Linked DNA regions of Ovis aries. The protein of the gene in region 7 interacts with the protein of the main gene of each other region in a pairwise test. Links are inferred from orthologs where the notes say so. Each region holds a gene or a part of one and is shown on either strand. Other genes may lie near its edges.

The links.
Region 1: the proteins of MID2 (region 7) and CEP57L1 interact in binary tests that used the Homo sapiens proteins (3 or more experiments, as listed by UniProt). The two-hybrid records come from large-scale screens. The link is inferred for Ovis aries from reciprocal best matches to the Homo sapiens genes MID2 and CEP57L1.
Region 2: the proteins of MID2 (region 7) and CCDC42 interact in binary tests that used the Homo sapiens proteins (3 or more experiments, as listed by UniProt). The two-hybrid records come from large-scale screens. The link is inferred for Ovis aries from reciprocal best matches to the Homo sapiens genes MID2 and CCDC42.
Region 3: the proteins of MID2 (region 7) and GEM interact in binary tests that used the Homo sapiens proteins (3 or more experiments, as listed by UniProt). The link is inferred for Ovis aries from reciprocal best matches to the Homo sapiens genes MID2 and GEM.
Region 4: the proteins of MID2 (region 7) and PRPF31 interact in binary tests that used the Homo sapiens proteins (3 or more experiments, as listed by UniProt). The two-hybrid records come from large-scale screens. The link is inferred for Ovis aries from reciprocal best matches to the Homo sapiens genes MID2 and PRPF31.
Region 5: the proteins of MID2 (region 7) and MFAP1 interact in binary tests that used the Homo sapiens proteins (3 or more experiments, as listed by UniProt). The two-hybrid records come from large-scale screens. The link is inferred for Ovis aries from reciprocal best matches to the Homo sapiens genes MID2 and MFAP1.
Region 6: the proteins of MID2 (region 7) and UNC45A interact in binary tests that used the Homo sapiens proteins (3 or more experiments, as listed by UniProt). The two-hybrid records come from large-scale screens. The link is inferred for Ovis aries from reciprocal best matches to the Homo sapiens genes MID2 and UNC45A.

Annotation. Positions count from the first base shown.
Region 1 is NC_056061.1:28,286,775-28,290,274, reverse strand, and holds part of CEP57L1 (centrosomal protein CEP57L1), read left to right. Parts: intron 1-837; coding exon 838-982; intron 983-3,500. UniProt on the Homo sapiens protein: Centrosomal protein which may be required for microtubule attachment to centrosomes.
Region 2 is NC_056064.1:28,079,578-28,083,077, reverse strand, and holds part of CCDC42 (coiled-coil domain-containing protein 42), read left to right. Parts: intron 1-250; coding exon 251-472; intron 473-715; coding exon 716-874; intron 875-3,500. UniProt on the Homo sapiens protein: Essential for male fertility. Required for sperm development.
Region 3 is NC_056062.1:82,966,316-82,970,265, forward strand, and holds the start of GEM (GTP-binding protein GEM), read left to right. Parts: upstream 1-1,150; 5' UTR 1,151-2,367; coding exon 2,368-2,403; intron 2,404-2,657; coding exon 2,658-2,997; intron 2,998-3,950. UniProt on the Homo sapiens protein: Could be a regulatory protein, possibly participating in receptor-mediated signal transduction at the plasma membrane. Has guanine nucleotide-binding activity but undetectable intrinsic GTPase activity.
Region 4 is NC_056067.1:64,008,904-64,012,403, reverse strand, and holds part of PRPF31 (U4/U6 small nuclear ribonucleoprotein Prp31), read left to right. Parts: intron 1-473; coding exon 474-571; intron 572-1,186; coding exon 1,187-1,293; intron 1,294-1,975; coding exon 1,976-2,145; intron 2,146-3,313; coding exon 3,314-3,471; intron 3,472-3,500. UniProt on the Homo sapiens protein: Involved in pre-mRNA splicing as component of the spliceosome. Required for the assembly of the U4/U5/U6 tri-snRNP complex, one of the building blocks of the spliceosome.
Region 5 is NC_056071.1:53,258,122-53,261,621, reverse strand, and holds part of MFAP1 (microfibrillar-associated protein 1), read left to right. Parts: intron 1-289; coding exon 290-398; intron 399-501; coding exon 502-662; intron 663-1,583; coding exon 1,584-1,743; intron 1,744-3,500. UniProt on the Homo sapiens protein: Involved in pre-mRNA splicing as a component of the spliceosome.
Region 6 is NC_056071.1:21,032,091-21,035,590, forward strand, and holds part of UNC45A (protein unc-45 homolog A), read right to left. Parts: intron 3,274-3,500; coding exon 3,102-3,273; intron 2,128-3,101; coding exon 1,827-2,127; intron 624-1,826; coding exon 529-623; intron 295-528; coding exon 153-294; intron 1-152.
Region 7 is NC_056080.1:127,335,799-127,339,298, reverse strand, and holds part of MID2 (probable E3 ubiquitin-protein ligase MID2), read left to right. Parts: intron 1-1,130; coding exon 1,131-1,258; intron 1,259-2,356; coding exon 2,357-2,590; intron 2,591-3,500. UniProt on the Homo sapiens protein: E3 ubiquitin ligase that plays a role in microtubule stabilization. Mediates the 'Lys-48'-linked polyubiquitination of LRRK2 to drive its localization to microtubules and its proteasomal degradation in neurons.

The DNA.
Region 1 (3,500 bases), on a different chromosome or scaffold from region 7:
CAAGATCTGAACTGATAGACAAATATTTCTGTCATTCTAACAAATGGCATCTGGTGACCTTAAATTATAATTCACAAATGCTTTTCCAAGATAGATTCTCCTTCTGCTTTTTATAATCTTTTCAGCTAAGTGAATTATTTCATTAGACAAATAAGAATGCAATTTCTTATTTTCCATTCTGGCCGGTCTGCATTGCATGTTTGAAGCATCCATATGCTTCAAAGATTCTGTATGGGATACATATTTTAAGTTTCAAGTTTAAATAGCTTTTCAAAAAATATTCCTGAAAATATGTGACTTGGGTGGCCAACTAGTTGAACTATGACCTCTGTAGAAGATATAACTAGTTCTATTAGCAGTAGTTTTTTTGAGCAGGCATTCACCAAATCTAGGAATTTCTCAGGCAAATACTTCTATAGCTGGAATTCTTCCAAAGATTCTACATTAAGAATTCCAAACTTGGAATGAAAAAGAGTCCCTTAATGCCTCTAGCTAAGGACATCAGAATATTTTACTACATTTAACTATGAACACTAAGAATTCAGACATTTTTTAAGATTCTTTGAGAGCCTAAGTCTGAGAGATTTCTAAATATATCTAATCTCAAATCATAAGAGCCTGTTTATAATTACCGTAGATTTAATTTGATAACTCTACAAAAAGAAGCTGTCTTTGAAGGTTAATATTTAACTCTGGTTAAAATTTATGATTGAGCAGAGTATTGTTTAATTGTGACAAAGATTAATATATAGTTTATATATATATATTTTATATATATATATATAGTTTGTATACTATTAACTGTAATAGTGCTTGATACTTGCTTTTCTTTCATAGGGAGTACCAGGACCTGCTGAATCAAATGAAAGAAACTGAAAGCCAATCAGTCTGTGAAGATATAGAATGTGAACTAGAGCGTTTAGTCAAGAAAATGGAAATTAAAGGAGAACAAATTTCCAAACTAATGCAGCATCAAGATAGCGTAAGAAAGTTTTAGTAAAAAATTTTAATAAAAAGATAATATATCTGGATTCAATATTACGTTTCTCTAGACCTTCCAAAATTGAGGCCTGTATGTGTGGCTTAGTGAAAAGATGATAGATAGGAATCACAGACTTATCATAAAATAGAGTCATCTGTACATTGAAATAACATAGTCTGCTACATAATTCTCAACATAATATAAAGAAAAGGGAACAAAGAAATTTAGTTATAGGGAATTCTCTGGCTGTCCAATGGTTAGAGCTCTATGCTTTCATTGCTGGGGCCCAGGTTCAGTCCTTGGCTGGAGAGCTAAGATCCTACAAGCCACACGGCACAGCCAAAGGGAGAAAAAAAAAGAGAAAGTTTAGTTATGTATTCAGAAGTAACTTTGGGAAAATTAAGAGGTAGGCTAAATACTGGAGTGGGTTGCCATGCCCTTCTCCAGGGGATCTTCCTGGCAAAGGGATTGAACCTGCAGTCTCTTACATCTCCTGCATGGGCAGGCAGGTTCTTTACCACTAGCGCCACTTGGCAGCACCCTACGGTGCCCCACAGACCCAGGTTGCTCAGTCAGTGTCTGCAAAATGCAGCTGCTTTGTTGACCATAGCTAAAAATTAGGAGGACCTAAATTTTCAGGGATCTGATTTTTTTTAAGTAAATTACATATATATATGTATGTATGTATGTATGTGTGTGTGTATATATATATATATATATATATATATGTATGTATGTATGTGTATATATATACACACACACACACACGTATATATTGGAGAAGGCAATGGCACCCCACTCCAGTACCCCTGCCTGGAAAATCCCATGGACGGTGGAGCCTGGTAGGCTGCGGTCCATGGGGTCGTTGAGGGTTGGACACGACTGAGCAACTTCACTTTCACTTTTCACTTTCATGCATTGGAGAAGGAAATGGCACCCCACTCCAGTACTCCTGCCTGGAGAATCCCAGGGACGGGGGAGCCTGGTGGGCTGCCGTCTATGGGGTCACACAGAGTTGGACACGACTGAAGTGACTTAGCACTAAATTTGCTTTACAGCTCTCCCAGCTATCCATTTAGCATTCTTTCCTCTTATCCCTCTCTTTCCTAATGTCTTACTGAAACCCCTTATGTCATCAGGTGTCTAAAGCAACCCCATCTCTAAAACCACCATTTCCAGTTTCTCAGAACAAGCCATGCTGTGTTCCATTCCTTGGGGACCTATGCTTATCTCACTCTAGTGGAGGTGATGAGGAGGACTCGATCCTTGTGTATAAATTCATAATAACTATGAATGGCATAACAGTCTTAATATTTTGACAAAAAAAATTATGGAATATTACATTTTATCCCAAGACAATGAATTCACTCTTAGGACTATTATGTTCCTGGAACAGAAAGCAGAGGGAATCTTTCCAGGAACCTTCAGGTCATATCATGTAGCTATTATGGAATAATCAGCATTCATATAAGTTGGTAATATATTAATCTCACAATTAAGCCTTCCCCACTTTTATAGGAAAGTAATAAAGAATGCAAAATTTTACTGCCTTTATTCTTCTGTGGCCAATAAAGAAAGAGTAGGAAATGAAATTTTGAAGCAAACATTTTCACTTAACTGGCTTTTAAACCTATAGTAAGTAAACTTTCTGTATGATTGTGTTAGGGTGAAAATTATGTAACTTGTATACTTTCTTAGAATCACATAGGAGAAACCTGAAAGGAGTAGAAGAGTAGTCATATTTTTTAAATTTAGGCAGTATGTACATAAATTATATTTTGAAAAAAATATGTATATAATTTATATATTATATATATATAATAGCTATAGAAGTAAAAATTTTTAATAATTTTTAGGTAAACAGAACACCAGATACTTAGCCAATGTCTGGACCAGCTCTACAAATCAGGCTATGTTTAAGTGAAATAGATGAAGTAATGTGGAGAATTCCCTGGTGGTCCATTGGTTAGGATTCCACACTTCCTCAGTAGGGTACATGGGTTCCGTCCATGACTGGGGAATTGAGATCCCACAAGCCATGTAATGTGGCCGAAATAAATATTTTTTTAAAGATTCAGTAATGGACTAGACTTGGAAGAAAAGGGTTTAACTAGTTTATAGATTTTGTTTTGTTTAATTCCGTCAACCCAATCATTGCTAGAAACTCCTCAATGAGATAAGGTTATTTATTCCTTTGCCTTTAAAAACAAGACAAAACTGGCATTCAGTAGTACTTTAAATTCAGGAATACTTTAAAGAAAAAATATAGACTCTATAAACTTGATATTCACTCCTAGCACCAAATTTTTGCTTTGTTGTTAATGTCACCAGAAAGGTCCCTCTCTCTCCTCCATGTTCTGATTTTTCCCATTTCTTATCTTACAAAAACAAACATTTCTTTCTCTCAGCTTCTCCAGCCCACATCAATCTTGTCCTTCTTTATCCTTCTTAGACATACACTTTTTGTCCTACTCAAAGTTATTCTGGCTTGAATTATTCTCTAGTTGTCACATATATG
Region 2 (3,500 bases), on a different chromosome or scaffold from region 7:
GACCCACGCCACGTGACCCACGGCCCGTACCAACTCGGGGTGGGGGTGGGCGCAGCGGAGACTCCGAGGGCTTTACAGCCTCTGGCCCTTGACTTAGCCCAGGGCCTCCCTGCCAGGCAGAGGCGCAGGGGGAGCTGGGGGCACAGAGTGGGGTCGGCGCCCCCCCGGGCGGAGGTGCACTGACCTGAGCCACCAAACCCCCCCCAACTACCCCTCCCGCGCCGCCCCCCCTCCCCCGGCCCTCGTGCAGTTTGAGGAGATCCACGAGGTGATCGCGCGCTACAAGACACTGGTGAGCATGCACCACGACCTCATGCAGTCGGCACAGGAAGGCCAGGAGAAGATTGAGCGTGCCAAGGCGCGGCTGGCACGCTACAAAGAGGAGAAGGACGACGAGATCCTGCAGCACAACAACGAGCTGGCGCGTCTGCAGATGCGCTTTGACCGTGCCCGCAGTGACGTCATCATCTGGGTGAGTGCAGGGCGGGTGGGGGCCACACAGACACACACAGACACAGGCAGCTGCGGAAGGGATACACACACACACACCTCAGCACTCACCGGTAAGGGACACACACACCAGCACACACACCCCTCAGCACTCACCGGTAAGGGACACACACCAGGACACACACACAAACACGGGTAAGGGATGCACACAACACATACACACCCACCCTTAGCACTCACACCCTGCCCTCATTCCCCTCCCCAGGAATCTCGCTGGGCGCACATTCAGAACACCGCTGCCAAGAAGACCCTCTTGCTTGGCACCATTAAGATGGCAACGCTGAACCTCTTCCAGATCGTGAGCAAACAGCTGAAGGAGGCGACCTTCGTGTCTCTGGAGGACACGCACAAACAGCTGGACATGGTACGAGGAGCCCAAGTGCCTGGCAGGCAGGCTGGAAGTCGCCTTGATGGTTCTCCGTGAGTTGAGGGGAGGCGCGAAGGCTAAAAGCAGTGGTTCTCAAGTTTTCAGAGTCGCCTGGGGACTCGAGCTTGTTGCTAGACCCAGCCCCACAGTGTTGGACTCGGGAGATCTGAAATGAGAAACCATGAATTTTCATTTTCCGCAAATTTCCGGGTGATAGTGCTGGTCTGGGTTCCACATTTAGAGAACCATTGCATTAGTGCTAAGGTTCTGTTGGCCCCATCAACAGGTCAGTAGAGGAACCCATTACTGAATTCATTAGCTGCTGCACAAGTCTTATAAAGTTCTCATGAGATGCTGAAGGCCTGTGACGGGCCCATCCTTGGGGAAAAGAGAACATCTACAGGGGCGGGAATCAGCAAGGGGCCGACAGTGTCAGTCTTGTTAGTACCATTCTGCGATTTTTCTCTTTGAATTGAAAGGAAACTGAAAAGGAGTTAACGTTCTCACTGTGTATGATACAAAGCTGTCTGATGCCACGTCTGCGTGCCCCCTGGAATAATCTCACTTCTGACCAAAGGAAAGCCGCATCCCTTAACTCGGGAAACTCAGCACCATGCTTTTTGTGACATGCGGAGAACCATGACTAATTATTTATCCTTTTGGCATATCCTTTTAGCCTTTAGCTCAGCTGTGAAACAGTGGAAAGTAGGCTCCTAACGGCTGGAATTCCTGTTTGCTTTGTTCTCTGTTGTATCCCCAGCCTCTAGAACTATGCCAGGCAGATAGTAGGCACTCAGTAAGTATTCAGTGAATGAATATGAAACACAAGCCAATGAAAGCAATTGACTGAGGAGTGCTTCGTCTGTTTGTTTTGTTTGTTTGTTTTTAAAGAGAAAAGATGGGAATTCCCTGGGGGTCCAGTTGTTAGGAATCTGCACTTCCACTGCAGGGGGCCCATGTTCTGTCCCTGAACAGGGAACTAAGATCCTGCAAGCCTCACAGCACAGCCGGAAAAAAAGAACCAAAAAAACCCCAGCAACCTGAAATTCATGAAATGTAAAGAATTTCACCCACTGACCAGCAGAATTTCCTTAAACCAAAGAATCAGCCTGCATCGTAAGGCATGTTAGAACTGAATTATTCATATTAACAGTCCAAAGACTGTAAAGGGAGTTTGTAAGAAAGTTTGTTGTGAAACAGCGATCCTCAAGCTTTTTTTGGTAGCAGGTTACCTTTACACTCGTAAAATTTGTTGAAGACCCCCAAAGAGCTTTTGTTTATATGGGTTATATCAGTTGATATTTACCTTATGAGAAACTCAAGCAGAAAAACTAAAACTATTTAATTCATTTAAAATGACAGTAAGAAACATGTTAACACAAATAGCATATTTAAGAAGTAGATTTATTCATTTATTTATGGCTGCCTTGGGTCTTAGTTGCGGCGTGTGGAATCTTTCTTCTTGGCGTGAGGGCTGCAGAGTGCCTGGGCTCTGTAGTTGAGGCACGCAGGTTTGGCTGCCCCACTTTGCATGAGGGATCTTTGTTCCCTGATTAGGGATCAAATTCACGGTCCCTGCACTGGAACGTGGATTCTTAATCACTGGACCACCAGGAAAGTCCCATAAATAGCATTTTTAATGAAAAATACATTTTCAAAAAGTATTTTGTGGGATGGGTGGCATTTCGACACTTTGCAAATCCCTAAAATGCTGCTTCCTGGAGGACAGGTATTCTCACACCTGCTTCTGTATCCAGTCTGTCACGATAGCCTCTGTGATGGGAACATCCTACTTGGGTAAAAGTCCACGTAGAGTCACCAGAGAAAAGACAAGTAGCAGAAGTAACAAAAGACAGGTGACACCTTAGCGTTATTGTAGAAAGAGTTTTGGCCTTGCAGGCCCCTCTTCCTTGCTGTAGGGTCTCAGGACTCAAGGCGTCCTCAGGCCCCTCCCCTTTAGCTGTTGTAAAGAGAGATGGGGCAGGAGGTGGTGATCTCCAGCCCATGGCCCCTGCCTAAGCACCCCCTGTTCGGACAGTAGCTTACAGTCCATCCACTCCACATTCTGAGCTTTCAGACTCCCTCGAACATTTGTTGTCCTTCCCCCAACCCCCCACCCGGGCATGCTGCATGGCCTTTGGGATCTTAATTTCGCAACCAAGGATCAAACCTGGGATCAAACCTGGGCTCAAACCTGGGCCCCAACCTGGGCCCCAGTCAGTGAAAGCACCAAGTCCTAAGCTCTGGACCACCAGGGAATTCTGTTCTCAACCTTGACTTGCCTCCACAGGAATTCCTCATATGCCCAAATGTTATTTTTAAATATCCCACTTGATTTCTTAGGATATGAGCCTACTGACACATATACGTGATTAAGTAGCCTGAAAAATGGAAAACAAAGACCTAGGAAAATATTGTAATAAGTTGAAACTTTATATAAGGTAAATATATAAATAGTATTATAAATCATACATGTTACATTTATAGTAAATATAAGTTAAAATCTAAGGTCAAGGCAAGAGAGAGATGTATGGACTCTCTCGGTTCTTGCCTTATAAAGGACAGTAGTTCGACAGGAACACAAGTTGGCTCTGAGATGCCTCGTAACCAGAGGAAAAGCAAC
Region 3 (3,950 bases), on a different chromosome or scaffold from region 7:
AGTGTCTGGGAAATGCCCGTGGCCTGCCAAAGAGGTCACTGAATCCCTCCAGCTGGGGGCACAGTGCAAAGAGCCAGGCAAGCGGAGCTTCAAGTCCTGATGCTGCCACATACATGAGCTGCGTGACCTTGGGCAAGCTCTCTGACTTTGGGGGTCATTTTCCTCCTCCATATAATGGGAGCAGCAGTATCTTCACCTTGCAGAATTGTAGTAAAGTTTGAGATACTGCAGAGGTCTAACAGTACCTACTAAATATAGGAACTCAGAGACACTCAGTAAATGATAGAAGTGACTGTTTCTGTTATCTTGTGCCCTTTTTTCACAGGCATCATTCTTGGGACTGGAACCCAGGCTAAGGCTCCTCGCATGGCCAGAGGCCCTGGCCCCACGGCCAGGACCGGCCATGCCAGGGAGCCTGGTACAGGAGATGCTACTAGTCGGGATGCTGATTAAATTCCCTGATCCAGGAGCCTCAGCGTCCTGGTCCAGGGCAGGAGGGCTAGCCACATTGAGCACAGTCTGCTTGGATCCCTACTTAAGCTATTTTTTCAAGACCTTTTCAAGGTCTTGCCCCCTTGCCCCACCTTCCTCTGGCCCCTTTTCTCTGGGTCCCGGTCAGAGAAGGGAGACAAGCAGTGTGGGTATCCCCTCCTTCCCTCATTCACCGGGAAGGCGACAGGAGCGGGCAGAGGCCGTTTTCCTTGCAGAAGATGCGGCTGACACAAGCCCCGAACACTTCCATGGGGCTGTAGCCCCCTGTTTTGTTTTGTTTTTGTTTTTTCTTTTGGCGAAACTGGGTTTCCAATCCCAACCTGCCTCTTCCTCCATCCTTCATCCGGACAGCTCGCGAACTGTTTTGCTGGAAAGTGCAATTAAGGGGCACTTCGTGTTTTGTCTGCCCCCTTCCAGCGTCCGCCTGGTCAAAAGAACAAACCAGAATAAAGGAAGCCGGGATTCAACTGTCGTTATTTTTTTTTAAAAGGGGAGAGAGGCGGGGGTCACATGACGGCGAGTCACCGATTTGGCGAAGGGGCTGCCCCTCGGGGCTTGCTGCAGAGCCGCCCGGCCCCCAAACCCCGGGCGGGGGCGCTGACGTCACGGCAGAGCCCGGGCCGCGCGCGTATAAACCGCGGGGCGCGGGCGCGGGCGCACCCGGCGCAGTCACCCCGCGATCGGCCGCCCGCATCGCGGCGCGCGTCCGCTCTCAGCCGCACCCCCGGTAAGGCGAGCAGCCCGCGGCGGGGAGCGGGGTCCTCCGGAGAGGCGCGGGGGGCAGGACTGGGGGAAGGGGTGGGCGTCCGCAGCCCGCGGAGAACTTTCCAAGTGGGGAAAAGAACCTTCCGGACCTGCTGTCCGGCGCGGTGGTCTTTCGATCGGGGGTCGGGGGGGTGAGGGGTGTTGCAGAGTTTAAGGGGCGAAGGATGCCATTCGGCGGTGGCGGGTTGCTTTCGTGCAGTTCAGTTGGAGGGTCATCTCCTCCTCCAGACTGTGGTCGGAGGACAGCCGTCAGGGATACTTCAGGCACTGGTTGTTTGAAGAGTCGGCCTACCGGAGGCGCTGCTTGTAAGATTAAAAAAAAACAAACCTACAAACCGATCGGTCATCAGGGTCATCGAGGTGAGGGTCGCGGCTAGGGTCATCGACGTGTTGGGGTTCTGGGGAGTGCGTGCGGGAAGGGGAGGGTCTCTCGCTCACCGGTGCATCTTGCTGCTGAAAATGAGATTGCTTCTGCTTTCTGTCTGAGAGTCTGGGAGTCCAGACCACCGGGCAAGGGGAGGCAGTCTTGAGAAAGGCCAAGCTGTAGCCACGTTGTTGAATGTCTTTCTGGAGGGAGTCTTGGACCTGATTGGCTTCAGGAAGGTGGAAATCCGAGCTGATGGAAAGGAACTCTTGGAGTGGACAGAGTTTAAAAAGAGTGAAGCACTGTCTCTGCAAGTTTGACAGCTCTGAACGTGAGCAGGTCCTCTCCCTGCCAGAAGGACAAGGCAGAGGGATGGGTTAAATGTGATATCTGTGGGCAGGGGGCAGAAGTGAGGCATATACCTATTGCAGAAATTCTTCTCCCCCTCAAATAAGAGCATATTCAGGCATCAGGGCAACTTTACTAAACATGGAAGTTCCAATCAGCCCTGGTCCAATCCAGCCGGGGGGGATGATGTCATTGTCACGTGTTCCCCACTGAGGCATAAAAGCCTGCTGGGTGCTGCTGCTACTTAAGTGCCATGTTTAGACATCAGCGGCTAACCTGGCCAGCTGGTCCCCAGCTGCATTAACTTGTTGCTTTTCAAGCCTTCTCTAGAGGCTCTTCGTGCCTTCTGGCTGCCTCTGTGCCCGCTCTGAGTGGGGAATCCCCAGGCTTCCTTGAGGATGGAGGAAGCCCCAGGGCAGTGGGCGATATTAACGGTACCTTTTCCTCTTTGCAAATGACAGTCTCCCTGAGGAGCTGCTGTGTGTGTGTGTGTGTGTGTGTGTGTGTGTGTGTGTGTGTGTGTGTGTGTTCAGTTGAAAGCCTGTTGGGTTTGGGGACTGCTTCACTGGTGTTCCTTGTGTGAGGGTTACTTGGTAACCTCACATACTAAAATATCACTGATGACTGTGTTCGAGCTCCCTGAACTCATGCTTCCTGATGCTACCATCTTGGCTGCTTTGCCTTCCAGGACCTGACGATGACTCTGAACCATGTCACCATGCGCCAGGGCACGGCGGGCGTGCAGCCGCAGCAGCAGCGCTGGAGCATCCCTGCCGATGGCAGGCATCTCATGGTCCAGAAGGAGCCCCCGCAGTACGGCCAGCGCAGCCGTCCCCCCACCGCCCCCGAGGACCCCTGCCGCCGGAGCTGGTCCTCCGACTCCACGGACTCAGTCATCTCCTCCGAGTCCGGGAACACCTACTACCGGGTGGTTCTCATCGGGGAGCAGGGGGTGGGCAAGTCCACTCTGGCCAACATCTTTGCGGGTGTCCATGACAGCATGGACAGCGACTGCGAAGTGCTTGGAGGTAGGTGGCCCGGCTCCGGAGGGCTTTACGGGACAGCAGTGGTCCAGCAGGAAGAGTGAGTGGGTGGGTCATTTGTCTGCAGAGTTGGGAAGTGCGATTATGCCTTCTTGGCTCTGCCTGGGGAGCCGAGTCCCCACAGACGTGCTGGCATAGGCCTCTGGGACAAGAAAGTGAAAATGCTTATAGATAGAAGCTGGGCCAGAGAAGGAATTTCTTACATTCCAGCTCTAAAGGGACCAGGGAGACGGTTTACGGAGGGTGGAGCCGGAGGGTCAGGATCCCACCTCTGGCTTTTGCCAGTTCTGACCTGGACCTTTCAAGCACTCAGTGTAGAGACAGCCTTTTTCCATGGTGATACTTAAAACCAAGCCAATTAGAAAACTGTTAAGATGAATTCATTAGTTTGTTCATTGCAGTATTAGAGGCTTTAGAGGGTATAAAATTGTTTAAAATCTCTATTTTCAATAGCACAATATTTAAAAAAGATATTGAAAGTTAGCAATGATGATACTTAACGTTTGTAAGTATACTTACGGTTTTTCAATTTTCCATGGATAATCTCATTTAAGGTATTTATTATTTAGGCCTTGGTTTCCAAAACTGATCTGAGATGATACAGTCTCAAAAAAATCACATATTCCTCAAGTAAAGCATAGCACTGTATTCTGGGAAGTAAAATGAGGCTCCTGTAGTCGATGGTTTAAATTCAGTGTCTTTCAGCCACAGGATCTTAGACAATGCCAGGGTCACTGTATGTCCCTGTTTGCAGTTGTGGAAATGAAGTAAGTGTGCTTGTCCCAGTGACATGGTCTGTCTGAACGCTCAGTTGCAACTCACTGCTGAATCACAGATTTCAGGAGTAGGAAGATGCTTTAGTGATGACACAGTTCTGCCCTCTGCTTGATGCACAGAAATCCTACTCCTTCCTCACTGCTGTCAGCCCATTTCTACTA
Region 4 (3,500 bases), on a different chromosome or scaffold from region 7:
GCCCTGCCCCGAAGCCCCTGCATTAGCTCAGACGTAGGTTCAGCTACTGAACAGAAGGGTGACGTGACAAGGAAGTGTATTTTCCTCCCGTGGGAAAGTCTGGATGAGGAGCCCAGGCTGTCTGTGTCTCACTGATTTGTCGCCTGTTTCATGGTACAAAGTGACTGCCCACCTCCAGCCATCACCTCCACATCCCCATCAGCAAAAACAATCAGGAGAGAGGAGGAGGGCACATTTTTTCACTTAAAAGAGTGACCTGGAAGTTGCCTGTGTGACTTGCCCTCACGCCTTATGGACCAGAACTGATCCACACAGCCACACCCTGCAGTAGGGGCAGCCTTTGTGCTGTGTGTCTGTGAGCCCGGCTGCCACAAGGGGCTCCCTCACTGCAGGACGAAGGGCAGATGGGTGCTGGGGGAGCCAGCGGTGTCTGCCTGCCCCTCATCGGGCTCCTGCCCGCCCTGTGCCCCCAGACATCATCCATAAGTTCATCCGGGATAAGTACTCAAAGCGATTCCCCGAGCTGGAGTCCCTGGTCCCCAACGCCCTGGACTACATCCGCACCGTCAAGGTGAGCACAGAGGATGGGCCCCCAGCCACCACGCCTGTTGAGAGCACCCTGCTCTTGGACCCTCCAGGGGGTCACTCAGCTCTGGGCCAGAGGCAGGATGGGAACAGGGAGCAGAGATTGGGGGAAGCCAAGACCCCGAGGTGGCAACAGGCCCTGGAGCGTTCAGGGAGAGGGAGGAGGCGAGTGTAAGAGGTCATCAGGTCAATCTGGCCTCCGAGGCTCCGGGTCTGAGGGGCAGGCCCCACGGGAGGGGCAGGCCCCACGGGAGGGGCAGGCACGTGAAGGCGGGACACCACCCAGCACCCAGGCTCCTGGAGAGTCGAGCAGATGGGGGTGGGGAGGAGACGCGGTCAGACCTGCACCGCGAGTGGACGCGGGCTGCAGGCCTGTGGGGGCAGCCCGTCCTCTGCAGGTGGACCGTCTGCTTCTGGGCAAGCCCCCTCCCGGGGCAGACTGCGGATGCTTTGAGCCTCGGGCTTGTAGGAACTGGGGGCAGACGGGGCGGCCGCTGTCCCTGCAGGAGAGGTTCTAGACCCTCCTGAGTCCCCGGGCCTCCGCCTCATCCCCCTCATGCCCCTCATCCCCCTCATCCCCCTCATGCCCCCCCTCCCGCAGGAGCTGGGCAACAGCCTGGACAAATGCAAGAACAACGAGAACCTGCAGCAGATCCTGACCAACGCCACCATCATGGTCGTCAGCGTCACCGCCTCCACCACCCAGGGGTGCGTGCCCGGCGGGCCCAGCCGGCGGCCGTCGGTCGTGGGGCCCCGCGGCACGGGCGTAGTGTCAGGAGGACGGGTTGCTGCGCTGCCACGTGTTCGCCGAGCACCTCCTGCAGGCCAGGCTCTGGGCCCCGGGTCCCCGGCGTTGGGAAGCCAGCCTCCTCCCAGAGCCTGTGGTCCTCAGGGGTGCAGCGGAGGGCAGGCCTGTAATTAGAAGTGGCGTCCCCTAAGGAGGGGCACACGGGGTCTCCCCCTGCCCCTCAACGTCTGTGGTGGGCCTGCGAGAAGGGCAGAGGCGTGTCACCCCACAGCAGGGCTCTGACTGGACAAGCCGTGAATGGGCAGGGTCGACGGCAGCTGGTGGGAGCAGCTGGATGGCGGCCTCGCTGGTTGGCAAGGCCGAGACCTGCAAGGTCTGGGGAGCTGGGGGGAGCGTTTCAGAAAGATGGAACACCTGCAAAGAGCCCGGCTGCAGGCCGGGCAGAGAAGGGAAAGCGGCGAGGACGCGCCACCACGGGCAGCGGGCTGGCGGAGCTAGTAATCGTCCCGAAGGTGCACGCGCACGCAGGCGCACATGGCGGGGAGGTTGGGGCCCCTCACCACTCAGGACCCGCGGCAGCACGGGTCGTTCAGTCCGCCCCCGCCGTGCCCCGCCCCAGCTGTGTCCCCACCCTGCCTGCAGACAGCAGCTGTCGGAGGAGGAGCTGGAGCGGCTGGAGGAGGCCTGCGACATGGCGCTGGAGCTGAACGCCTCCAAGCACCGCATCTACGAGTACGTGGAGTCGCGGATGTCCTTCATCGCCCCCAACCTCTCCATCATCATCGGGGCCTCCACCGCCGCCAAGATCATGGGTGAGGCCCGGCCCCGCGCCCGTGGCTTCGCGGAGGCCTGTCCCTTTCCTGTGAATCGGGGCGTGTTCTGCACGTCCTGGGGCCCAGCACGCGGCCCCCATACCCACCTGCTCGTCTGTCCGGAGATCGCGGACCAGCGTGGCGGCCGGCAGAGCTGGGGCCCGGCAGCTGCAGGGGCGGCGGGGCGTGGCCGGTGGGGAGGCCGGGGACCCGGGGCCGCCTGGTGATGGGTCAGCTCTCTGCGCCCCAGGGTTCCCCGCAAGATGGGGGCGCTCGTCCTGGCAGCGTGATGGGGAAGAGTGAGTCCCTTCCTCCTCGGGGCGCGCCCCGCCACCTCCCCCAGGCACCTGGTCCCTTCAGCCGAGGAACGCTTGCGGGCACGTGTGTGATAGACCAGCGAGCGAGTCAGTCACCGCAGGCGCGGCTTCGAGGGCGAGATCCGTCCTCGGGATAGGGCGGCACTGGGCGTCGGGGGCGGGGTGCCTCTGCGGCCTCTCCGCAGGGGGGTGGCCCCTGCCCGCGGGTCCTCTCCTGGTCATCCCGGGTCCCGGTCTCCCCTCCCATCGGGGCACCTGTTCTCCTGGTTGGGGGTCCAGCCTGGGGGCGTCGTCTCACCTGGCTCACCCCTGCAAAGGCCCTGTCTCCAGATTCTAAGATGGTGGGGGCTTAGGACTTCAGCGAGTGAATCTGTGGGGAACACAGTTCTGCCCGTGAGGCAGGGGTGTGCAGGGTTGCAGGAAGGATGAACTCCTGCTTCTCCCACTCCCCGCCACCTCTGACCTCACGTCTTTGGGCAAACCGTGTCACGCGCCTTGGTTTCCACCCTGGAGACCAGGAGGGTGTTGCCCGCACCCGCAGACACGCTCTTGGAACCCAGAGGTGGCTCACACCCGGGCCGCTGGTGTGGTGACCAACCCCTGAAGCACAGGCAGGCCCACGTGGCTTCCCAGACGAGGGGTCAGGTTTCTCGTGGGCCAGGGGCTCACTGTGCAGCCTCCGGCACGTCCCTTTGCCTCTCGGAGCCCCTCTGAATCCCCCCCGAGATGGGACATGTTGACGCTCCCTGGCGGGCCCCCCTCAGGCCTGCGGCTGGAAACTCCTGTGAAGGGGCAGCGCTCGGCGGACCACCCCCCGCCACCTCGCTGATGTCTGCCCCCTCCTGCTGCAGGGGTGGCTGGCGGCCTGACCAACCTCTCCAAGATGCCTGCCTGCAACATCATGCTGCTTGGGGCGCAGCGCAAGACCCTGTCGGGCTTCTCGTCCACCTCGGTGCTGCCCCACACCGGCTACATCTACCACAGCGACATCGTGCAGTCCCTGCCCCCAGTGAGTGCCCCCCGGGTCCCCGGGTCACT
Region 5 (3,500 bases), on a different chromosome or scaffold from region 7:
CAAGGTCTTATATTATTTTAAATACAAAATCAAACTTAAGAGCAAATTCCTATTCCTTTCCTAATGGCTAGAAATCCTACAGTCCAGCAGGTTTCTTGATATTCAGGCAGTTCAAAGATGATGGAATTTTGATGTTCTAAAGACCGGAAATGATTCCCACTTTTAGCTCTTTGCAAATAACAGAGCCAGAGACCATTTGGCTTTGTCTGGTTTGAATGAGACTTGATTTAGGGAACAAGGAGCACTACTCTCAGGACTTTGGGCAATTAACAGGACCTCTGTGCTGCAGGAAGGACCGGGTGACAGTTCAAGAACGTGAGGCTGAAGCATTGAAACAGAAGGAGCTGGAGCAGGAGGCCAAACACATGGCTGAGGAGAGACGCAAGTACACACTCAAGGTGCTGGGCGTGGCTGTGAGGATTGAGTGTGAGGAGTTGTGTGTTTCGGTCTGTCTGAGGGAGAATGAGGAAGTCCAACAGTTGAATTGTTCTCCCTATCCAGATTGTAGAGGAGGAAACCAAGAAAGAGCTGGAGGAGAACAAGCGGTCTCTGGCTGCCCTGGATGCACTCAATACTGATGATGAAAATGATGAGGAGGAATATGAGGCCTGGAAAGTTCGGGAGTTAAAGAGAATCAAGAGGGACAGAGAAGACAGAGAAGCGTGAGTAATGGGATGAGCTTAGAGCTTAATACCACTGGGTGGTCATATTCCTAGTAGGGTAGCTCTTAGGCTCTGCACCTACTGTGGGTTCCATTCTAGCTTTCTTTAGGGTTCCTAGAGCTAGGTGTGTTCCCCGTGAGTGGAATGTGGCTTATTATAACAGAATCAGGGAAGAGAAACACATTTTGTCAGTGTTTCTCCGTGATAAGAGTGCAGGTGATACTCCCTTTAGTAGTTTCCTAGTTGACACAAACTGGTTACTTGCTGTAATCAGTTTTCTGTTGTTGCGTAACAACCCAACCCAAAAGTAAGTGACTTAAAACAATTATTTATTTCTCACAATTTTGGAGGTTGCTCTGCAGTTCCTCTACCACACTCAGTTAGACCAAAATCATCTTGGAGCTGTACCACCCATTCCTAAAAACTACTAGGGATGCCTTTTTTTTTTTTTTTTTTTTTTTTGAAGAAAAGGGACCTATGACTCTCCACCCCTAAAAAAGGTTGAAACTGCTGCAGTCTAGTTAATGATGGTGACCCTTGGTTTGTGGTATGTAAGCACATTATTTAAAAAATACCAGTCAAGTCTTATACAGAATTAAATTGATTTTTTTTAAACAAAGAAGGCTCTTCAGGGAAGGGAAATTCGTAATGTTATAAAAATCAAGCAGTAGTAGTATGTCTGAACCTCAAAAAAACTAGAATCAACTTTCAGAAGTTTGCAGTACCTGGTCTTGTGAGTGTAATGAAGACTACCTGACCTTTTTATTTATTAAACTTCTGATCTTAATTCCTAACAGATAGTAACTAGAATCTGTGAAGATAAATAATGCTTGAAAGGAGGTGGGACTGTGTCATATTCAGATAACTGGGTCTTTATGAAACTAAAATGAAACTAATAAATAGTTTTCATTCTCTGAACAGACTTGAGAAGGAGAAAGCAGAAATTGAACGAATGAGAAACCTAACTGAGGAAGAGAGGCGAGCTGAGCTTCGGGCAAATGGCAAAGTCATTACCAACAAAGCTGTTAAGGGCAAATATAAGTTCCTACAGAAGTATTATCACCGGGGTGCCTTCTTCATGGTAAGAAGTGAAAAGAGACTGGAATAACCTCCCATTTTCCTAGTCCTGGAATGTTACTTCTACTTACCAATGGTCAGCTTTCTCATTTGCTTTTTCCCTCTGAAGAATATAAAACCAAATAGAGGAAAGCATTCAGAGAAGGTGATGGCACCCCACTCCAGTACTCTGGCCTGGAAAATCCCATGGACGGAGGAGCCTGGTGGGCTGCAGTCCATGGGGTCGCTAAGAGTAGGACATGACTGAGCAACTTCACTTTCACTTTTCACTTTCATGCATTGGAGAAGGAAATGGCAACCCATTCCAGTGTTCTTGCCTGAGAATCCCAGAGACGGGGGAGCTTGGTGGGCTGCCATCTATAGAGTTGCACAGAGTCAGACACAACTGAAGTGACTTAGCAGCAGCAGCAGAGGAAAGCATTGGCAACAGGATTTCAGAAATGGCAGCAACTGTTCCCTTTTGGCCTCAGCTCTCAGGAGGAAATGATGTAACAGCAGAATTGAGGAACTGAAAGAGAGAGTGATCTATACTAGACTAGACTATTTAGGTCCCTCAAATCACTTAGATATAATTTTTCATAGCTGAGAGATTTTGTTTATGAGAAAACCAAGCTCTGCAAAGAGCTTTACATTAACTCATGTTTGGCTGATTTAAGTTTAATTCACTTCCTTCTCAGCGGACAGAAAGTGACTAAATCTGACCCAAAAGATGTTAATTATCTAACCATTATTTGTAATGCCATGATCTTTGTTCTTTATATAAAAACCAAAGTCAAAACAGCTGTCTGTTAACCCTGTATAAAATGAAAAGGACTGCTTCCAAATTATTTGGATTAGCACTAGTGATAATTCCTTAATAGAGAGACAGCAGGAAAGGAAATGGGAGAATTGATGACATTTATTACTCCAATGATATGTGGTATGTTAAATTATTTCCTGATATTAAAGAAGTTTGTATCAAAAAGTAATCTAGCTTTTTCAGATGCTGTTTAGCAAACCTTAAGTATCTCCACTGCAGGTAAATTCCTGCCTTTTGCTGTTTAGTTTAGTGAAGTCGCTCAGTCGTGTCTGACTCTTTGCGACCCCATGGACTGTAGCCTACCAGGCTCCTCTGTCCATGGGATTTTCCAGGCAATAGTACTGGAGTGGATTGCCATTTCCTTCTCCAGAGGATCTTACCAACCCAGGGATCGAACCCAGGTCTCCCACATTGTAGAGAGACGCTTTACCGTCTGAGCCACCAGGGAAGTAGATACCAGTAAAATTTTAAAACTTTAAAAAAATTTTTAAATAAGGATTCCTTATTCTTCTCCCACCAAAATCAGTCTATCTAATCAGCAGGAAATATTTGCTTATTATGTTGTTTTCCAGCCCATGTAGCTTTCTAGATAGGAGTCAATGGAGATTATTAATTACTTCTTAGATTGCTTCAAAGTCATAAAATATCATTGCTTTAGCATTTCAAGTTTTAATAATCAAGCTCCTTAGAAAACCAGTGCATTCCTAAGATACATAAGGAAAGGTTCATGTGAAAGTCTTTTGGTGCAATACTGAAATATCAACTCTTCTCATTGGACAAGGAGGGTGAAGTGGAAATGGCTTTGAGATTAAATGAGGTACTTTCAGGCTCTAACAAGGAGAAAAGTTGGGTCTCATGAAAGGCCTACCTTTAAATTGGGCCTTTCAAGAGCTGATGGGAAGAGTGTATCCCAAAACTGTTATTTAGCTCTTCCGTGAAACTTTCCTTAAGATGGTGCTGTT
Region 6 (3,500 bases), on a different chromosome or scaffold from region 7:
GTGGTCACCCAGAACACCCAGGCCACGCAGGGCAGTCACTCGGGCTACCAGCCCTGTGTCACAAACGCTGCTGGCCACAACCTGCCAAGAAAGCCCTTCGGGCTCTAATCCTAGTCAGCGTCCCTGGACCACTGCAGGAACCCAGGGGCTACCTTGCTGAGCTGGAACAGAGCCTTCAGAGCAGCTGCATCCTCCACAAACTCCTCCTTCACGTCAGCATCAAAGGTGAGGTAGGCCAGGCCCTCCACTGCCCAGCGCCGCGTGCCCACGTCCATCTGGTCATTGCACAGCCACCTGGGGGCGTGCAGGGCACTGATGACTACCAGAATGGGCAGGGGGTGGCGGGGGGTGGTCGGAGGGGTGCCCCAGGAACCAGGGGGATAAAGCCAGCGGCTTGGGCATCCCCACCACATACGGAAGCAGTTCATGTGGAGGGTCTGCCTGGGGAGGACAGGGCAGTGAGGATTCCCCTCTTCTCTTGAGGTCTGGCCAGCAGGCAGAGAGCCACAGCCATGCTAAACCACTCACTTTCGACACTGCTTGGCCAGCTTGAGAGTGGAGCCTTCGGCAAACTGCTTCATGCTAAAGTCGGTCCCTCCGGCTGAGCCAAGCTTACAGAGCCCCTGCAAGAGAGGGTGAGAACCAGCTGTTGGCCAAGGGACGGAGGCATGGCAGGGCTCCCTGCCAGCTCTCTGCCAGGCTCCCTGGGGGCCAGGCACACCCCCACCAGGCTACCAGCTGGGCTGTGCTAAGTTGCTTCAGTCGTGTCCGACCCTTTGCGACCCTATGGACTGCAGCCTGCCAGGCTCCTCCATCCATGGGATTCTCCAAGCAAGAATACTGGAGTGGGTTGCCACGCTCTCCTCCAGGGGATCTTCCCAACCCAGGGACTGAACCCACGTATCTTACGTCTCCTGCACTGGCAGGCGGATTCTTTACCACTAGTGCCACCTGGGAAGCCCACAAAACCAGCTGCTAGGGTGGCCGTGTGATAGCATCTGGGAGAGACTGACATGCTGACCACATGCTGGCCTGGCCTCCACCCCACTGCCCGACGTGCACCGGACTTGCTCTGTCCCTTCCCACCTCACGCCAAGGGAGCCCTTGACGGGCAGACCTAAGATACGTGTGGGGAGAAGACAGGCGCCTCAGCCAAGGCCAGGACCCCCATGGGAGGGAGAAACCCAGGACAAGGTGCCCCGAAGAGGAGGATCGGCTTCCTCCAGGGGCAGGGCTGCAACAGGCGCACAGGGGTCAGGTGTTCCCTAGACCACCGGCTCTGGGGCCTGCCTGGCAGCCCAGCCTGTTCACACAGACCCCAGGCCTGCCTGGCCTAGTGTGTCCTCCAACTCCTCCCAGAGCCACTCCCACCGCCCACAGTGGGCAGCCCAGGCTGCCCCGCATTCTTAGAAGTCCTCTCTGTCCAAGCCTCTCCTCCTCCTCCTCCTCCCCAGGAGGAGCCAGGGCCCTGCTCCGGCCTTGACAAGGCCCTGAAAGTGAAAGTCGCTCAGTCATGTCCAACTCTTTGCGACTCCATGGACTATAGCCTGCCAGGCTCCTCTGTCCATGGGATTCTCCAAGCAAGAATACTAGAGTGGGTTGCCATTCCCTTCTCCATGGGACCTTCTCAACCCAGGGATAGAACCCAGATCTCCCACATTGCAGGCAGATTTTTTACTGTCTTGAGCGATCAGGGAGGCCCTTCAACAAGGCCCTGCACATCCTCCATTTTCACCAAGCGTGTGCTGAGGCTGCACTCTGAGACGGGCCAGCTGGGGCCCCCTGTCTGGCTGCCTGCTGGCTCAGCCCAAGCCTGCCCATCTCACCACCAGTGCCCGGATGCGGATGCTGTCCTTCTCGCTGCGCTTGTACAGGTCTTTCAGCAGCGAGACGCCATTGGCTGTGATGAACGAGGCTCGCTTGGCCTTGCCGGCTGCATGGATCAGGGCCTCCACGGCCACCAGCTGCTCCTCCTCCTGCTCCGAGGCGCACAGGGCGATCACGCTCTCCATGACGCCGTTCAGCTCCAGGGCCCGGTTGCCAGCATCACATGGGCCCTGCAGGAGGCAGGACACTGTCTGGATGGCCCGCAGCTTCCCGGCCAGCCCGTGGCCCTCAAACCAGCTCCTGCGGGGTACAGGGTGGCAGCTATCACATCACAGTCAGCACAGAGAGACTGCCCTTCCCTCCGCCTCCTCCACTGGCCAGGCATCTACAGGATGTGGGCAACAACAGCAAGAAAAGCTGCCAGCGGGAAGACCAGGACACCAACCCTCTGGACAGCAGCCACCGGGGTTCTTCATCCGGGCTCTCATTCGAGCCCCACCCCCAGCCCCGATGACCTGCCATCTAACGCAGGTCGCTGTCATTCACGCCACCCTGTCTGCACCCTGTGGTCACTGAGGTCCGAACTTGGGCCACTCACCCCGTGACTTGTCATCCATCAGTCTGCTCCTAGCTGTGAGCCCTTAAGGGTGAGGACTGTGAAGCAGCACTGATGTGTCAAGATGGACACACAGCATGTGCTCGGTGCACACTACGTGCTGGAGGACACCAGCTGCACTAAGACAGCTTGAGCTTGTGCGTATTCAGTCGTGTCCAACTCTTTGTGACCCCATGGACTGTATCCCGCCAGGCTCCGCTGTGCATGGGATTCTCCAGACAAGAATACTGGAGTGGGCTGCCATTCCCTATTCCAGGAGATCTGCCGGACCCAGGGATTGAAGCCGTGTCTCTTTCATCTCTTGCACTGGCAGGCAGATTCTTTAGCTATGAGCCAGCTGCACTGGATGAGAACTGACATAACAAAGAATATCCTTGGGGACCTCCCTGGGGGTCCAGTAATTAAGACTGTGCTTCCACAGCAGGGGGAATGGGTTTGAGCCCTGGTCGGGGAACAGATCTGATATGCTAAGTAGTGTATAAATAAGAAGGAACGTCCCTGCAGAGAGACTCTGAAACAACAAGTGGCCCTTGGGACCATTCTGACTCTCACAAGTCCTCCCCAAGGCCGTTTCTCTGATGGGAAACCTTTCACTGTTGTCTCTCCCCAAATAGTCAGCACTCTCGAAGGAGCCCTGGCTACAGGAGGGCTCCCTTACTTGATGTAGTTTTCACAGAGTCGGTGGAAATTCTCCCTCTCGGCATCACACTTCAGGTCATCGAAGAGTTTGCTGAGCAGAATGGAGGCGCTCATGCGGCTGTTTGCTGTCACTGTGAGCTCCCCAGGAGGGTCTTGCACAGAGCCCCCCACCTCCAGGATCTTCTTCAGACCTGAAAAGACACCCTATTCAGACAGCTCCAACCCCGATGGGCAAAGGGAAGAGGTGTCCGCTCGCACGAGCTCACAAAGTACAGACAGGCTCACAGAATTGGGCTGGCGGAGTCGCTGTCTACCGGGGGGCAGGTCTGGGGTCAGCAAAGGACCTCAGAACTTAAGGCCTGTGGGCTGGCCCTGCCTGTGGAGCCAGATGCTCTGGAGCATAGAGGTTCCTGACAGC
Region 7 (3,500 bases):
ACTAGTTCACCATACAAGTTTCCTCTCTGGTCGTCCTACATTCAGTGCCTCTTCTCTCCACTCTAAGGTGCATATTGTTGCCAAGTTAATGTTTCTTTCCATACTGTTATTTGCATGCTCAAGAATTCTCATTGGCTCTGATTCAAGTCAGGCACAGGGCCTAAATATGTATATTTCAATCAAAGCTCAGAGATAATTCTGATGTGGAATAATTTTTGACAATTGTAAAAATATACCTTTAATTTTTTTTTAAAGTAACTGTCTACATGGTTAAGGGTATAGAGTTTAGAATCCAATGAACATGGGTTCAGTTATATTTCTTTTTTTCTGACCCTGGTATGACCTTGAGCAAGTTCCTTAACCTTACTATGTCTCATTTACAAAATGGAAATAACATTTGCTACACAGGGTTATGGAAAGGAGTAACTTAGATAATGTGTGTAAAGTGCATGCCTGGTGTCTTATACATACTGAATGCCTGATAAAAGTGACCTTTGTGGTGGTGTTGTTAGTCATTCAACAATTATTTATTCACTATGTGTCCAACACTGTGTTAGGGACCATGGTATAAAATGCAGATCCTGCTTTTGAGACTCTTACAATTAGTTAGGGAGCTAAAACTAGCATAGCATTATATAACTAGAGAGCAATAAAATTAAATGTAAATGTTATCAAAGATCAAACAAACTATAATATTTAGGGGAAGATTTTAACCAAGCCCTAGCATGCTGGATTGTTGATTAACATTAAAAAAAAAATAGGGGGGGGGGAGAAAAAAATCTCTCAAACTGCTGTCACCAAGCTTTCAGAGGTCTAGTTTTGATGCTGCCTGCCAGATGGAAAATGATGCAGAGGGAAAAAAATCCTGTATTTACTTCTCCAAATTAAGACAGGATGGGGGAGTGTGTTTGAGGAGTGAACATATGTGAATAAATATGGTATAACCCTTAATTGGTTCCTGATGATTAAAATTTAAATGGTTTCCATTGGAAAAGGACAGATATGATATTTTTCATTTTAATCAAGTCCTACCAGTCATTTATCTTCACCTTGTTAAACCAGAAATCAAACATTGGATAAAGGTTGCAAATCTATTTTGATGTATGTTGATGCACTTTTCTCTCTTTCAGGGTCGCTATGGCAACTGCATCTTCTCAAGTTCTGATTCCAGACATCAATTTTAATGATGCCTTTGAAAACTTTGCTTTAGATTTTTCCAGAGAAAAGAAACTGCTGGAGGGGCTAGATTATTTAACAGGTGTGAAAATACTGTGCTTTCCTTTCCATTTTAGTTCTTTTCTTTTGGTAGGCTTTTACTTTAAAATAATCTGAAAAGGACAATATTATAAAGATGCCTTTATAATCTTTAAAATGATACATATATCTTTTTAGATAGAATATATTTTAATTCATGTAACAGAAAATAGAAATGATTTGTCAAATATTTCCAAGGACAGAATGGGTATACACACCATCCCTACTTAAAGGTAAAAAACAAGAAGTTGCTGGTGGTTTTCTCCTTACAAGCCTGTCAGTAATATAACGTCACCTGTTATAAGGGTAGAACTCGGGTAGTAATTAAAGAATATTAGAGAATTTCTCACATGAGTACAGGTACCACCCAAATGCTTGTAAGGAAATTTAAGAATTAGCGGAATAGGAAGAAAAATGTAAGAAATATCTGACTTGCAGAGAGAATTTTAGAAAATGAGGGCAACAACCTGTCTGTTAAAAATACTGACTGCCTTCAGGATGTTTGAATGATCATTTCATGAGGAAATATACACACATAATAGCTTCGTGTTTGTAGCTATCATTGTTACTATATTAAAATAGGTGTCATTGATGGAGCATCTCCTTTAAGCCAGACACTATATATTAATTTTACATCATGATCCTTACAAGGAATCTGTGAGGTAATTATCATCCCCATTTTGCAGATGAGGAAACTCATATTAATTTGCACAACTAATCCCTATTAATACTGCCAAAATATATAATACAACTTATTTTGAAATAAAAAGAAAATAGATTGAAGGCCATATAATAAGGAAACACATGACTACGTAGCTCTTATAGCTACGTATGTGTTAGTGCAGGCCAAGTAGACAATGGGTCTACTGGGTAATTTAGGCTTAGATCTTTGCCTAAAATCCCTATATCATTGAAGCAAAAGTGGTTAGGGGAACTTGAGGTCTCAGCACTTGACTTCAGGTTGTGTGGTACGTGCAATCTAAAGCTTCTTTTCAAGAAAACCTCCTTTCCAGATGTTGGGTTGGTTAGCAAGAGTAACAATTATAAGATGCCAGAACAGAGAGTATGTTTTCCTTACCTTCTTTTCCACCTTTCGTTACAGCCCCCAACCCACCATCTATCCGAGAGGAACTCTGTACTGCCTCCCATGACACCATTACGGTCCACTGGATCTCAGATGATGAGTTCAGCATCAGCTCCTATGAGCTTCAGTACACCATATTCACTGGCCAGGCTAACTTCATCAGTAAGTCATGGTGTAGTTGGGGCCTGTGGCCAGAGATAAGGAAATGTAAGGAAGCAGTAAGCTGCTCAAGATTGGCCGGGGCGCCACGAGGCAAGTGTTTGTAAGACATGTTAGGTTGTTTAGTATAGTGTTGTGTAGACAGTGCAAGCTCCCCCAGCACATTGCAAAGACCTTACTGATGGGTAACAAGCAAGTTGTGTATTTCCTTGCTGGGCAGTCACTGGGGCCACTCCCATTTGTTTATGTAATCCTTAGCCTTTCTTGAGTTAATCCATGTCACTCCACTCTCTGAAATCAGAACACAGCTCAGAATTCGTTCCTGAGTAGTTAAGTCACAATCATTGCTGATTCTATGTGTGTGAACATCTCTCTTCTTGATTGTTCTTCCACTTCATTATCATGGTAAAAAACATTACATTCAAAGACTACCACTTCCTTTACTGTACCCATTTGTATCAGTGAATAGTGACAAGCCTCCTGCCTCTGTCACTCTTCCCTCTATCCCTTCTCCGTTTCCTCCAAAAAATATACCAAATATAAAAATGCATCAGCGAGCCACCAAATAAAAGATGTTCTGAAAGCAGTCATTTAGCTCACATGTTATGGTTTTATCTTCTGATGAATTGGAACAAGACATAGGACCTTAACTCAAGCTGCAAGTTCCCCTCAACCTGCTGGAGAAAATGGAAGTAAAAGCAAAATTATTGGAACCAACTTGCACACTAAGGTTCCATCTGCATAGCTGCAAATTAGTATTTTCTTTTTATCTTGTGTTTGTACTTCTGTGTCTGACTTCACAGACCTGTGTGAGAGGAGTTTTTCTGATGAAACCCTCCTGAAAGGCTTCCTTTTCCCATCTTGTGACAATTTAGGGCCACATGGCGGGGTGGGGAGGTGAGAGGACATTTGGGGTCCAACTCTAAAAGAAACACTTGCCTCGTGCAGCTCCAATCTAAGCCACTTGGCCCTGGTAGCTGCGTTCCTGGGTGTTTGTTCAGGT